3 linked regions of the Coturnix japonica genome follow. The protein of the gene in region 2 interacts with the protein of the main gene of each other region in a pairwise test. Links are inferred from orthologs where the notes say so. Each region holds a gene or a part of one and is shown on either strand. Other genes may lie near its edges.

Evidence for each region.
Region 1: the proteins of UBQLN1 (region 2) and ubiquitin-conjugating enzyme E2 variant 1 interact in binary tests that used the Homo sapiens proteins (3 or more experiments, as listed by UniProt). The link is inferred for Coturnix japonica from reciprocal best matches to the Homo sapiens genes UBQLN1 and UBE2V1.
Region 3: the proteins of UBQLN1 (region 2) and RIC8A interact in binary tests that used the Homo sapiens proteins (3 or more experiments, as listed by UniProt). The link is inferred for Coturnix japonica from reciprocal best matches to the Homo sapiens genes UBQLN1 and RIC8A.

What each region holds. Positions count from the first base shown.
Region 1 is NC_029535.1:12,304,296-12,307,944, reverse strand, and holds part of ubiquitin-conjugating enzyme E2 variant 1, read right to left. Parts: intron 2,094-3,649; coding exon 1,968-2,093; intron 1,603-1,967; coding exon 1,456-1,602; 3' UTR 1-1,455. UniProt on the Homo sapiens protein: Has no ubiquitin ligase activity on its own. The UBE2V1-UBE2N heterodimer catalyzes the synthesis of non-canonical poly-ubiquitin chains that are linked through Lys-63.
Region 2 is NC_029547.1:36,156,613-36,160,361, reverse strand, and holds the start of UBQLN1 (ubiquilin-1), read left to right. Parts: upstream 1-1,205; coding exon 1,206-1,364; intron 1,365-3,749. UniProt on the Homo sapiens protein: Plays an important role in the regulation of different protein degradation mechanisms and pathways including ubiquitin-proteasome system (UPS), autophagy and endoplasmic reticulum-associated protein degradation (ERAD) pathway.
Region 3 is NC_029520.1:1,400,557-1,404,299, forward strand, and holds the start of RIC8A (synembryn-A), read right to left. Parts: upstream 2,824-3,743; 5' UTR 2,708-2,823; intron 2,690-2,707; exon of another isoform or gene 2,599-2,689; intron 2,502-2,598; 5' UTR 2,403-2,501; coding exon 2,319-2,402; intron 105-2,318; coding exon 57-104; intron 1-56. Other genes in the region: BET1L (BET1-like protein), read left to right, coding at 2,843-2,861, 3,003-3,094, 3,439-3,495.

The sequences.
Region 1 (3,649 bases), on a different chromosome or scaffold from region 2:
AAACATTGTTGTTCACTGACTTGATAGCTGCTGCTTTAAAATGGAGTTTTATTTTCTTTTTTTCTTTTTCTTTTTTTCTTTTTTTACACAAACACTTGATCTTTTCATAAAATTCCAGACACACTAGGTTGGCTGCATGTAAGCTTGCATCCACACTGCAGTTAGTGGTCCAACAGTAAAACAGAAAAGGCAGCAATTTGCCAGGATGCAAAGCCAATACTGGTCCTCACTCTGCACCACTTCCCCGGATCTTCACCAGGGCGTTTCCTCTTCCAAGACTCAGAGAATCCTGATGGAATCTACGCTGACTCAATTTGTCTGTCAGACCCTCAGAAGCGCCAACCTGGGTGCTGCACTCAGTTAGTCAACATTCCCGGGTCATTCCAAAGCACCAGAAATACAGCTACTCAGATTGGAGTGTGTGTTTTGAACCTACGTGCAGCCTGGCAGCAGATTTTGGTCATCCTGGTATATTACTGCTCTTTTCATCATGTCAAAAGCCTATCTAACATCAGCCGCAGCCAGCTGGGTGGTGTGGCAGCAGAGCCAGAGGGACAGGGAACATCCACGTTTGCGATCAGAATGGATACTCTTGATTCCCAGGCTGGTGAAGACTATATTTGTTGCAAAACCAAAACGATAAGCAGGAGGGAATAGGTCAAGTTATTGCCCCAGTGCTTACCCCTGCCATCCAAGGGTGAGAAGAGACATAGAGAGGGGCAAAAAGAAAGCAGCATCCCTGCTAAAAAGAGGGGAAGAGGGAAGAGATTAAAAGAACCCCGAATCTCTCACCCAATGCTCACATTACTGGTGAGGGAGATCAGGAAGAGGAATACAATCTATGCCTTGGCCAGAGGAAAGGAGGAAAGCTCGCCCCAGATTACCATGGCATGAAAAAAAAATATAAAACCAAAAAAGACTACAGTCACATTCAGCCTTTACTAGAGATAGCACAAAGGGAGGGATGACGGAGGTTAGCACACATCCCCATTAGTAGTCCATAAAGCCCAGTGTCGTACTGGAAAGAAAACCTTTGTGCCTATTCTAATAAACAGCCCTGAGCTTCAACTCTATTGCAAAAGACAGAAAAAGAAAATAAACAACAAAACAATCCTGGCCAGACACACAGCAAGGTGATTGTGGGATGTATGCTTCACAGTTAAGTTAGATGTGCCACACTGGTCTTGACAGTAATAAATTTAAATCAACTCTTCCTGATACCAGAAGTTCAGCTATGTGGACAGTGGTTACACAACAGGATTATTTGTTATAGCACAACTTATATTTCAAATGAAAAAAAAATTAGTATCATTTACAGTATCTCAAGAAAAATCTCCTCTGAATGGGAACTTCCTTTCCAGTATTTTGAGGTCTACAAGATGCATCTAGAAAATTTACTACTGTGGAAAATGAAGACAGCTTAAATTGAATAAGGGGGCATGATTATTTTTTTAATTAATTGCTGTAACATTGTCCTTCAGGTGGCTGAGGAAGTTTCATATTTTCTTTAGACATCATTAGACGCCGAAGCTCTTGCAGAACAACTTTGATGCTAAAAGAATTCTGCCATTTTGCTAGGACTGATATGGCTCTGGGGTCCACCTAGAACAGACAAAAACACCATTCCTGTCACAATCAGAACTGTCAATAACTCCCACACACACCCTCCAGCCAAAGATCTTTTAAGAAGTCTCAGTGGAAGAAACCAAAGAAGGCAAAAGCAAGCAGGTGGCTTTCCTGAAAGCATGATTAATCCATGCAGAACTATTTGCAAGCTGCAAATGTACAAGAAAAGTACATTTTGATTCCAGAATTCTCTCAGTTTGTACAGTTCCCTCCTACTCCCCTCTTCTACTCCAAGAAATGGTACGAGCAAACAAAAAGTACTAAAGCAAACTGCAAATAAAAAGCATTCATTAGAAGCTGCACGTGAAAACCATGTAAAATAGTAAAAAACAAAAACTTACCATTCCATTGGAATTATTTATTCCATTCATATTAATTTTAGTTACAAATCTAACTGTAGGAGGTGCTTCTGGATATTTAGGTCCACACTCTACTTTCAGACTGTATATTCTGTTTTCATAAATTGTCTGGGGGAAAAAAAAGCAGGAAGGGGGAACAATTATATCAGGCAGTTCAACAAACACTTGGTTAAAACAGTGGTTATTTCAGGAACACAAACCACTAAACAGAAGGTCAGCTGCTTCCATTCTGTGCTGCCTCCCCCTGTTTTGGGTTCATTTTACAATATTTGAGCACTAAATGCTGCTCTTCTGCATATTAAATTCTACTATTTTTTTAAGCACACATTGAATTTTCACATAAAGAATGAAGTTGGCATTGCTTCCTGTTCACTCCCTGAAAAAGTTTTTCTTATCACCATATAGTTTAGTTTTCTGCTCTTCAACCAATCTTTATAAATCAGTTCTGTTTTTATCAATTCACTAATCACAGGCATGATCTTGAAATCAAAGCTATAGCTTTAGTGTAGAGAGCCATCTGAAGTTGGCTGGTCCTAAAGCTTCACTTAAAAACTTTCTTTGGTCAATCGTCAACCCAATGCATGAGCTCCCTGAAAAGTGAATGCTCCAAAATCTAGTACATTTAAAGTACACAGGTTGCTCCGAAAGTAATGTCTCCTATTTATTTCCACAGAATCTACCACAGATACACAGAGCACAATAACATTATTTGATAGAGCAAATTCTCAGCTATAAAACATTGTTTTTCAACACAGTCACCACCATTAGCTGATTCATGCAGATGAGCTGATCAAGGCACTCTTCATCTTGTTGTATGACAGCTGTGCAAGGTCACCTGGAACACGGCTTGTCCTTCACGCTGCTATTGACAATGCAGAAAGGCACCAGCATGACTGCACCAATATCCACTGCCTGGTCTCCATATAGGTTCAGCAATCATCAATGAATGTCAATGGGTGCCATTTTTTCTGTTCTGCCCCTTTGTTCCATACTTCTATGTCAGACACCACTCTGTCAGGCTGCCCCTCTGCTGCCAGCTGTCACACAGCAACAAAATGGAACAGGACATTGGTGGGAAGGTTCAGCCCCTACTGCCACACCAGCAACATCCGCCTCTGACATCACAGGCCAACATCATAAAACAGGAGGCATTACTTTTGGAGCAACCCTTCTACATCCTGATTCCAAACAGCAACAACATTGTTCCAGAGACTGGGGGACAGTTACCTGACTCAGCCTGGACTGTCCCAGTCTCCTAACAGAACCATGTGAGCTCTATGCACAGAGCAATTAACACACCAAAGTCTGCAGCTTTTTATGGCCCTTGCATATAACCACATCGCATTAAGACTAGTGAACAGAAAGTCTTCACCATGCACAGGCCTAGAGCCAGACCAAGTCAAAGTTCTGACAGCACCCCTGTTATTGAATAGCTTGTATAAGCAAGAGGAATGACTGGTTGCAAAACCATCTGCACTGAGCCTGGGGAGGAGCAGTATGCTTCCATGTAAGGTAGCAGGGACAGCCCAGAGCAGCAGCCTGGACCCAGCTCAGCACAGCAGTTCATTTTCCCTGCAGTACACCCAGCACCAGATTCCTCCACCTGCCACAAGCGCGACTGTTTTCTGCTCAGAGGAAAACAGGATTTTTTGACTTTTTCCCAA
Region 2 (3,749 bases):
AATACCACAGATGCCTAATAATCTAAACTGTAAATCTCTTCTAGCCTAATGGATAGCAGTTGTGCTATTTTGGTACAAACTGTACTCAAGTAGCCATACAGTCAGCATGAGCTGTTGTAAACTAAGAGTAGCCCTGGTTGCAAAAGCCCTTGCACTTTGATCCAATTGATTGCTGCTTGAAACCACTGCTTGGTTGAGCAAAGCACTACCTGACTCACTGCGGCCCTCATTCTACCACCATTCTGTGTCAAAGCGCCCTGCTGCACCACAGTTCAGTGCTGTGTAGGGTCACAACTAACACGGGAAAAGGAATGAGTGTGACAAAAAAAAGGCTCAGAGATTAAATATACCTGAAAGCATTTTTTTTCCTTAACACACCAATTCTCTAGGCCAACCAGAACTTCAATGGGCCTTCCGCCAGCTTTTGGTATCCCTGTTTTAAAACCTGTTGACAGGTTTTAAATGGATTGCACAATAGTTTTAGAGGACTGGAGGCAGCTCTGTGGTGTTACCAGCCAACATGATTTACACTGAGTTCCTACACATGAGATTATCCTCACACCACAGCAAGACAGCAGCTCCTCCGCTGCACAGCGTCCTCTGGGAAACCGAGCTGTTAATGAAGGATGAGGAGGAGCAGGCACTCGGTGTCCTACGGAAATCCATGATTGTGTTTCATGCTTAAAAGAGAAATTCGAATCTTTAATTTACGAATATCACTAGGTAGAGCCTGACTTGGTGACGCTAGAATTAATTAGCGATTAAGTGCACTTGGTCCAAAATTCAGAGCAACGTGCAACCCGTCTATGGAGCAGTGCCTCAGGAATCCCGCTTCCAGAACAGTACACGTTCGACATTATTGCCGTACAACAGCGCAGAGCAACAAACTGAAAGACCAAACTCAGACCAGACCGCCCCGCCCCGCCCCGCAGTTGGCGGCGTACGCGAGACTAACTGCGCCTACGCGAGCGTGGCGCATGCGCGCAATAGACGCCGTGCATCCAGCCCCCACCCGGGCAGGCAGCGCCCCTTTCTAGTAACTTCCCCGAAGAGCTGCGTCATCAATGCGCGCCGCGGCCAGGACGGGTATTTCCGCCCGGCGCTACGGGAGCGGGCAGAGCCCGTTGGGGGGTGAGGTGAGAGTAGGGAGTGTTGTGCTTGTTCCGAGCTGACGGGCGTTAGGTGCCGGCCCGGCCCCGCTCACGATGTCAGACAGCACAGACAGCCCCGCGGGGCGCCGCAGTCCCCCGGAGACTCCTGCTCAGGGCTCAGCTGCCGACGAACCGCGCATTATCAGAGTCACGGTGAAGACTCCCAAAGAGAAAGAGGAGTTCTCTGTTGCCGAAACCAGCAGCATCCGGCAGGTGAGGGGCGGCGAGGAGCGAGGGAAACGCGGCCTGCCGGCCGAGCTCTGCCGCGCTCCGCGGCCTCACGCTGCAGGGCTGGGGCCCGTGCCCGTGACGAAGCGACTGCTGCCTGCCCGAGCTCCGCGGGGCCGGGCCGGAGAGCGGCGGGGCTCGGTCGTGGTCCGCTCCCGGCGGGGCGGCCGCATCCCCCCCCCGACCTCTCGCTACCCGCGGTTGTGTGTCGGCTCGGGAGGAGGCCCGGCCCGGCTCTTGTTGCGTTGCCCGGCCCGGCTGACTCAGGCTGGCAGCGGGAGGCGGCAGCTTGCTTGCCGGTGAGGCTGCGGAGAGCGTGCGCAATCACCTTGCTGAGAGCGTTGTGGGGCCGGTCGTTATCTGGATAAAATGTGCTCTAAAAAAACAACACTACCAAAAAAAACCCAAACAAACAAAAAAAAAACCCAAACAACTGAGAACGCCACGGCGAGCATCAGAATTTTAGGGAAGTTGTCTTTTTCGAGAGATTATAGAATTTGCAGTGTAAATAAAGTGCAACTTCAGCTGCACTTTTCTTATGAAAGCCTGTGCCCCCTCCACCCCAACCCTGGTACCTTCGGTTTGAAAGAAGTAGTGAATCATCATCTCGATTTCCTGTAATGCTCCTGTAATGTTTTTTTGTGGAAGTTTTCTGTGCAGGTGTTGATGGGGGCTTTTATTTGAGTTAGAGGGCAACCAACCATAGAGGAACTACAATCAAAGCCTAAGGTAGAGTCTGTAAAATCAGCCTTCTGTTTGTGAAGGAGATGGATACTGTTTTGCTAAGATACTCCAAAAGATGCAGTTACTTGGAGGGGATTCAGAGCTTACTTTGTCCATATGATTTATCTGAAATGTTCTTTAAAGTATCTTTGGATGAGGTGCCTCAGTTTGAATTCTTTTTTTTTTTCCCCCTTCTTGCATGTGACTTGTAACTGCAAAGTAAAACATGGGCATGTATGTGAGCTCTGCTGCCACAGAAATCCAGCCATGAAAGTTGACAACCTGAGTGACAGGTTACAAAGCTGACATTATTTTATTTTAGCTCTGGGTGTATGGTTGGTTGATTTTCCTAGCATGCATACCTAGGATGTAAAGTAACAGATCTCGTACACTTCAACATGTAAGTATACATACTATTTCCACTGAAGTGATGGTTTATTCTTAGAATTGCTTTATATATTAAAATGTAGTGCCACACATGTGATGAGTTAATATAGGGTTCTTTCTAGGGAATCTTTGGTGGTTGTCAGGTTCCACTGGGAGGTGTTGCCCATGCCAGAGGTGGTGTGGGCCAGGCCTGTATTTAGTCCAAAACCTGTTTTTGAGAGTCTTGGCTATTTAAGTTTCTCATTAGCACATCGACCTTATTATGGTGCCTGTATTATCAAACCCAGCAGCGTACAGCTTAGCTCCTCAAAGCTTGTGGGATGAGACTCTGCTTTTAGGCTTCAGATGTCCTGCTTATCTGGGAAACACAGCCTTTCCTAAACTGAATGTCAGTTTGCCAAGGAGTTTGAATTAGTTGCTGAAGGCTCTGAATTTATCTCCAGGTGTCACCACTGTTGTCAAAATGCAAAGCTTGATATCATTTCTTATGGTTAAACCAGAAGATGCTATGTGGTTATCAAAGGGGAATACAAGAGGTGAAGTAAAAGCCCTGAGTGTAGTACCAGCAACTGGGCTAGAATTTAAATCTTTGTTCTACCTAGTTGCTGTGAGGCGACAAGATGCTGGTATTTCTTTCAAGTTTTTCTCATTATTTTGCTTATAAGCATCCCAGAAATAAGCTTAATTGAGGTCCTCTCTCCAGCTGCTGGGGAAGTGATACTCTTCTGTCTTTGGGCTTTTTGCAGCATCCTACCTGCTACTCTATCTGCAAACTTAATCTAGGCATTTCTCCCAAAGGTGAAATGGCAGCGTTTGCTTTTAATGTTTGCAGAAATCTGTCAGAAGGGGGTACTTTTTTTCCTCTTCTAAGCAACATCAGCACTGTTATAAAGTTACTGGAAAGTTCTTTATGGGGTCTTTTTTAATTTTTTTGGAGATTCATATTCCAGATCTAACAGGAGGAAAGTATCTATCACCAAAAACAATGTAATTGCAAATTATTTGGATACTTAAGGAGGTGTAAACAAATTTACTTAAGGTGAAATTTATATTTACAAATTTATCTTTAGCAGGATTTTTTTTTTTTTTTAAATATGAAGGCCAGTTGGGATGCCAGGTTGTTTTGTGATCAGTTGTCTTAAAAGCAAATGTCTAAATAAGCTAGCAAGCACACTTTACTAAAAGAAGACATATGATTTTAAGTAGTTAATAGAAGATGCTGCTTGAAATTTAATTGTTGTCCACTTATCTTAAGCGCTA
Region 3 (3,743 bases), on a different chromosome or scaffold from region 2:
ATCCCCAGCCACCATCTACAGGACAACAAGAACAAGAAGCCAAAGAGCACGCCTACCTTCCTCTCCTCCCGTTCCTCATCATCAAAGGTAAAGCATTGAGATTTCTGTAGAGCAGAAAAGAAAGTATGAGTTTAAAAATCCACAAATCTGCCTTTCCCAAACAGGGAATAAGCTTGGAAAGCAACTCTGAAAAGCACTCTATAAAGACAAGTAAGCCTTCTCAAGAAGTCTTTACCAGCACAGGGAATCAAAGAGGCAAAGAGTGTTAAAAAACCTATGAATACTGCACACCTCTTTAACAAACAGCATAGGTAGGAGCCAGACACAAGGACAGTTTTTCCTGTTGCTGAGAGCTTTGCTTCATTATTGTCTTCTCTGTTCAACACTGTTTGTATCCAGCAACTTCAGCTACATTTTAACAAGCAGGGAACGAACCTCATTTGAAAAGCCCAGATACAGCCCATGCTGCCAAGTCAGAATTGTTTTCCTTCTCTTTCATGCCTGAAAAACATTCGATGAACACCCCATACTCTCTTCTGCTGGCTCAGTGGTGGACACCACATGTCACAGGCCAAAGCTGTGCCCATCTGATGGACCAGCTTAATTTTATATACTGCAGCTGTGAGGTGGGTATTCAATACATTCCAAATATCCCATAACTCATAGTATAGTTTGGGTCTTAAGGGACCTTAAAGATCATCTGAATTCCAACCCCTTGCCATGGGCATGAACACCACAAGCTCAGGTTGTCCAAAACCCCATTCAGCCTGGCCTGGTATCCACAGCTTCCCTGGGTAAACTTGATTACGCTTAATGACTCTACCAAGCTATGTGTACGCTCTTCTCCCCTTTGTTATTGTTTCTTTTCCTTCCTAATAGAAAGCATCACTTCCTTGCTACTTGCAAACAAATCCTTATGTTCTTCCTACAGCATCCTGAAGTAGGACTGTTATTCAGCTCACGTTCTTCACACACAGCCAATTAAAACAGGTGAACGCTCCACTCTATGCAGAACGGAGCTTTCCCTTGCATCTGTGAACCTTCTCATGTCAGTCAGAACGTTAGTCAGACTGACCTCGTGCACAAAGGCATTTCCAGAGCTTCTTTGCAGGCTCCTGTAATCTCATTCACAAATATTTCCATAACACACCTGTGGGTTTGGCTTTAGCTGTATTCTATTCCCGACAACCAGGAACTGACTGCATATTTAATAGTGAATTAAATATATATATATACCTAGAGAAGAATATAACAGCACCTGCTTTTGTAGTAAAAAAAACTATGCAAGGAAGTCGGTTGGCTTATAATCAGTTTAATCTCTTCAGCTCATTTCTCCCAGACAAGCTAGCAAAATGACTGACATCCTCACAAGTTTCCTATGCTCTACACGCTGACAAAGAAACCAGCTGGAGGAATTCAAAGCATTGGATTTAGTGCCTCAACACGGTTGCACAACAAATGCCATTTACTATCCTAATTTCTCCAGCACACCAGCTGCTGCCAGCAACGCTAATCCTGCAGACCAACCTTTTAAAAGGGACCTGCTGTTTCAAAACCGACTGCTGGAAACAGTTAGTGCAGGAAGGGAAGTGCACATGCTTGTAAGATAAGCACAGGTTTTCCCCACCAGCTTCCCTCCTACTTCAGAATGGTGCAGAATGAGTCACAGATCTGCAGGGCCAGCCCTAGCCTGGTGGAAACCCTCTGAAGGAAATTTCCCTGGCAGACAGTTTCAAAAGGGAACTACCCCTGCAGATGATCTAAGGTTAGAGTCACTCGCACTTCAGCTTCCTGACCCGGTCTTTTTCATGTTCTACACTCATTATTTCATGCGCCAGCTTTCAGATCAGGCACCCTAATCCAATCCCAGCATCCATTCACACCAACTCCTAATTGTCTTTTGCTTACAAATCACAACAATCCTACCTGCAGCTCCTCCCTAGGTGTGAGTTTTATTACCTCCAAACCTTGCCTAGCATCAAGGCTCCTCCTACTCCTCATGCCCATGATTATTCCCCTACCGGGTTTAACTTGCAATCTGGATAATAAAGAAAATCCTTCCCATGTACTTTTCTTCCAGCATAAACAAGATAAAGGGAGGCTTCTTAGCTGCTTCCTAGTAAAGCATCATTAAGAAGCAGCTTGCAAGTAACAAAACAAAGCAGTCTATGACATCTCCAGGGCAATAATGCAGAGACAGATGCTCAGAGGAGATGGGATAGCTGGGCAGCACTGTGAACCCATAACACGGCCCAACCTGCTTCCAGGCTTGCTGACAGCAGCAGGTGACATCAGGCTGAGGTGTGATGCTCACTCACCTCCTGGTTGTAGATCTGAAGCACCTTGAGGACCGCGTCTTGCTCCCCGCTTTCCACCGTGGCCACTACGGTCCTGAGCTCCATGATACCAACAGCTCAGCTACAGCAGGATGGGAAGCAGAGAGGAAAGGCTTCCAGAGCTCCTGGATAACAGCGGTGCAAAGGGACCTCGATCCTTGAGAACTGAGAGGCAGTGAGAAAGGGGGTGGGGAAAAAGAAACAAAAATCAAGCGAGCCGGCTCACTGCTGCGTCCATAAAGCAGACGGGTGAACCACGTACAGCCTCTCTGCCCCTCTAATCCTCTTCTTTCCTCTTTGCTTTCCGACGTTTAATGCATGCCCTCCCAGCACAGCGCTGGGACACCCCCCCCTCCCCACCCGAGGATTACCGCAGCAGATCACGGTGCTTCCCGTAATAGCTCCCCGCTCCTCACTACCCAACAGGGAAGGCGAAGGCCCAGCGGCCATTTTACAGAGGCGGAGCTCCTCCTGCCGGGCGGAGCCGCCTTTCGCCGTGTGCCGCCATGGCGGACTGGGGGCGAGGTGAGGGGGAAGGAGTGAGGGGCGCGCTGAGGGGCTGCTAAAGGGGGCGCCCCGCCGCCATCTTGGGGCACCCCGCCGCCATCTTGGGGATGTGCCATGCTCCCCAGTCGGGATGATGAGACGCGTTTCTTTTCTCCTCAGGACAGAATGCGGTTGCTATGGAGGATATGCTGGACGTGGAGAACAAGCGCATGACAGACAACCTGGCCAGCAAAGTCACCAGGCTGAAGTCGGTGAGTTGCTGGCGCTGCTATGGACGCTTGCAGGGTCTCAGGGACAACGCAGTTGTGTGGGCTTCCTCAGTGCTGTGGGCATACGATGGCTGACGTGTAGCAGTAGGAGGCAGTGCTGGTCCGTCAGCTGTTGTCATATGTCCAACATAGGGAAGTTTCTGCCAGCTTTCCCAGATTATTTCCACAGCAAAAGGATTCCCACAACCCCAAACTGCAGTGAGTGAGAGGCCTTGTTTTGTGGCTGTGCTTAACAAACCTCCACCACATCCTCTAGTGTGGGCCTAGATGCGTTCCAGGTTGTCTTGGTGTTCATTAACGTCAATTTCCTCTCTTATGCTGTGTAGCTGGCTCTGGATATTGATAAAGATGCTGATGAACAGAACCGTTACCTGGATAGCATGGTAAGGAACCAAAAAAGAAGGGTAAAAAGCATGAATTTCAATGTTGGGACCAGTTTGGTCAAAGGTGGGAGCTTGGAAGCTTAATAGCTTGGAACCTTAATAGCAGTGTATGGCCTTGGAGTATCTGAACTGGATATTTGTTCAGCCTAGAAATCAAAAGAGTGGAGAGTTGGAATGAGAGATGTAAAGACAAGAGATCTTAAAGGAGAAGCCCCGAATCAGCACGCAATTGTGCTTCTATTAGAGAA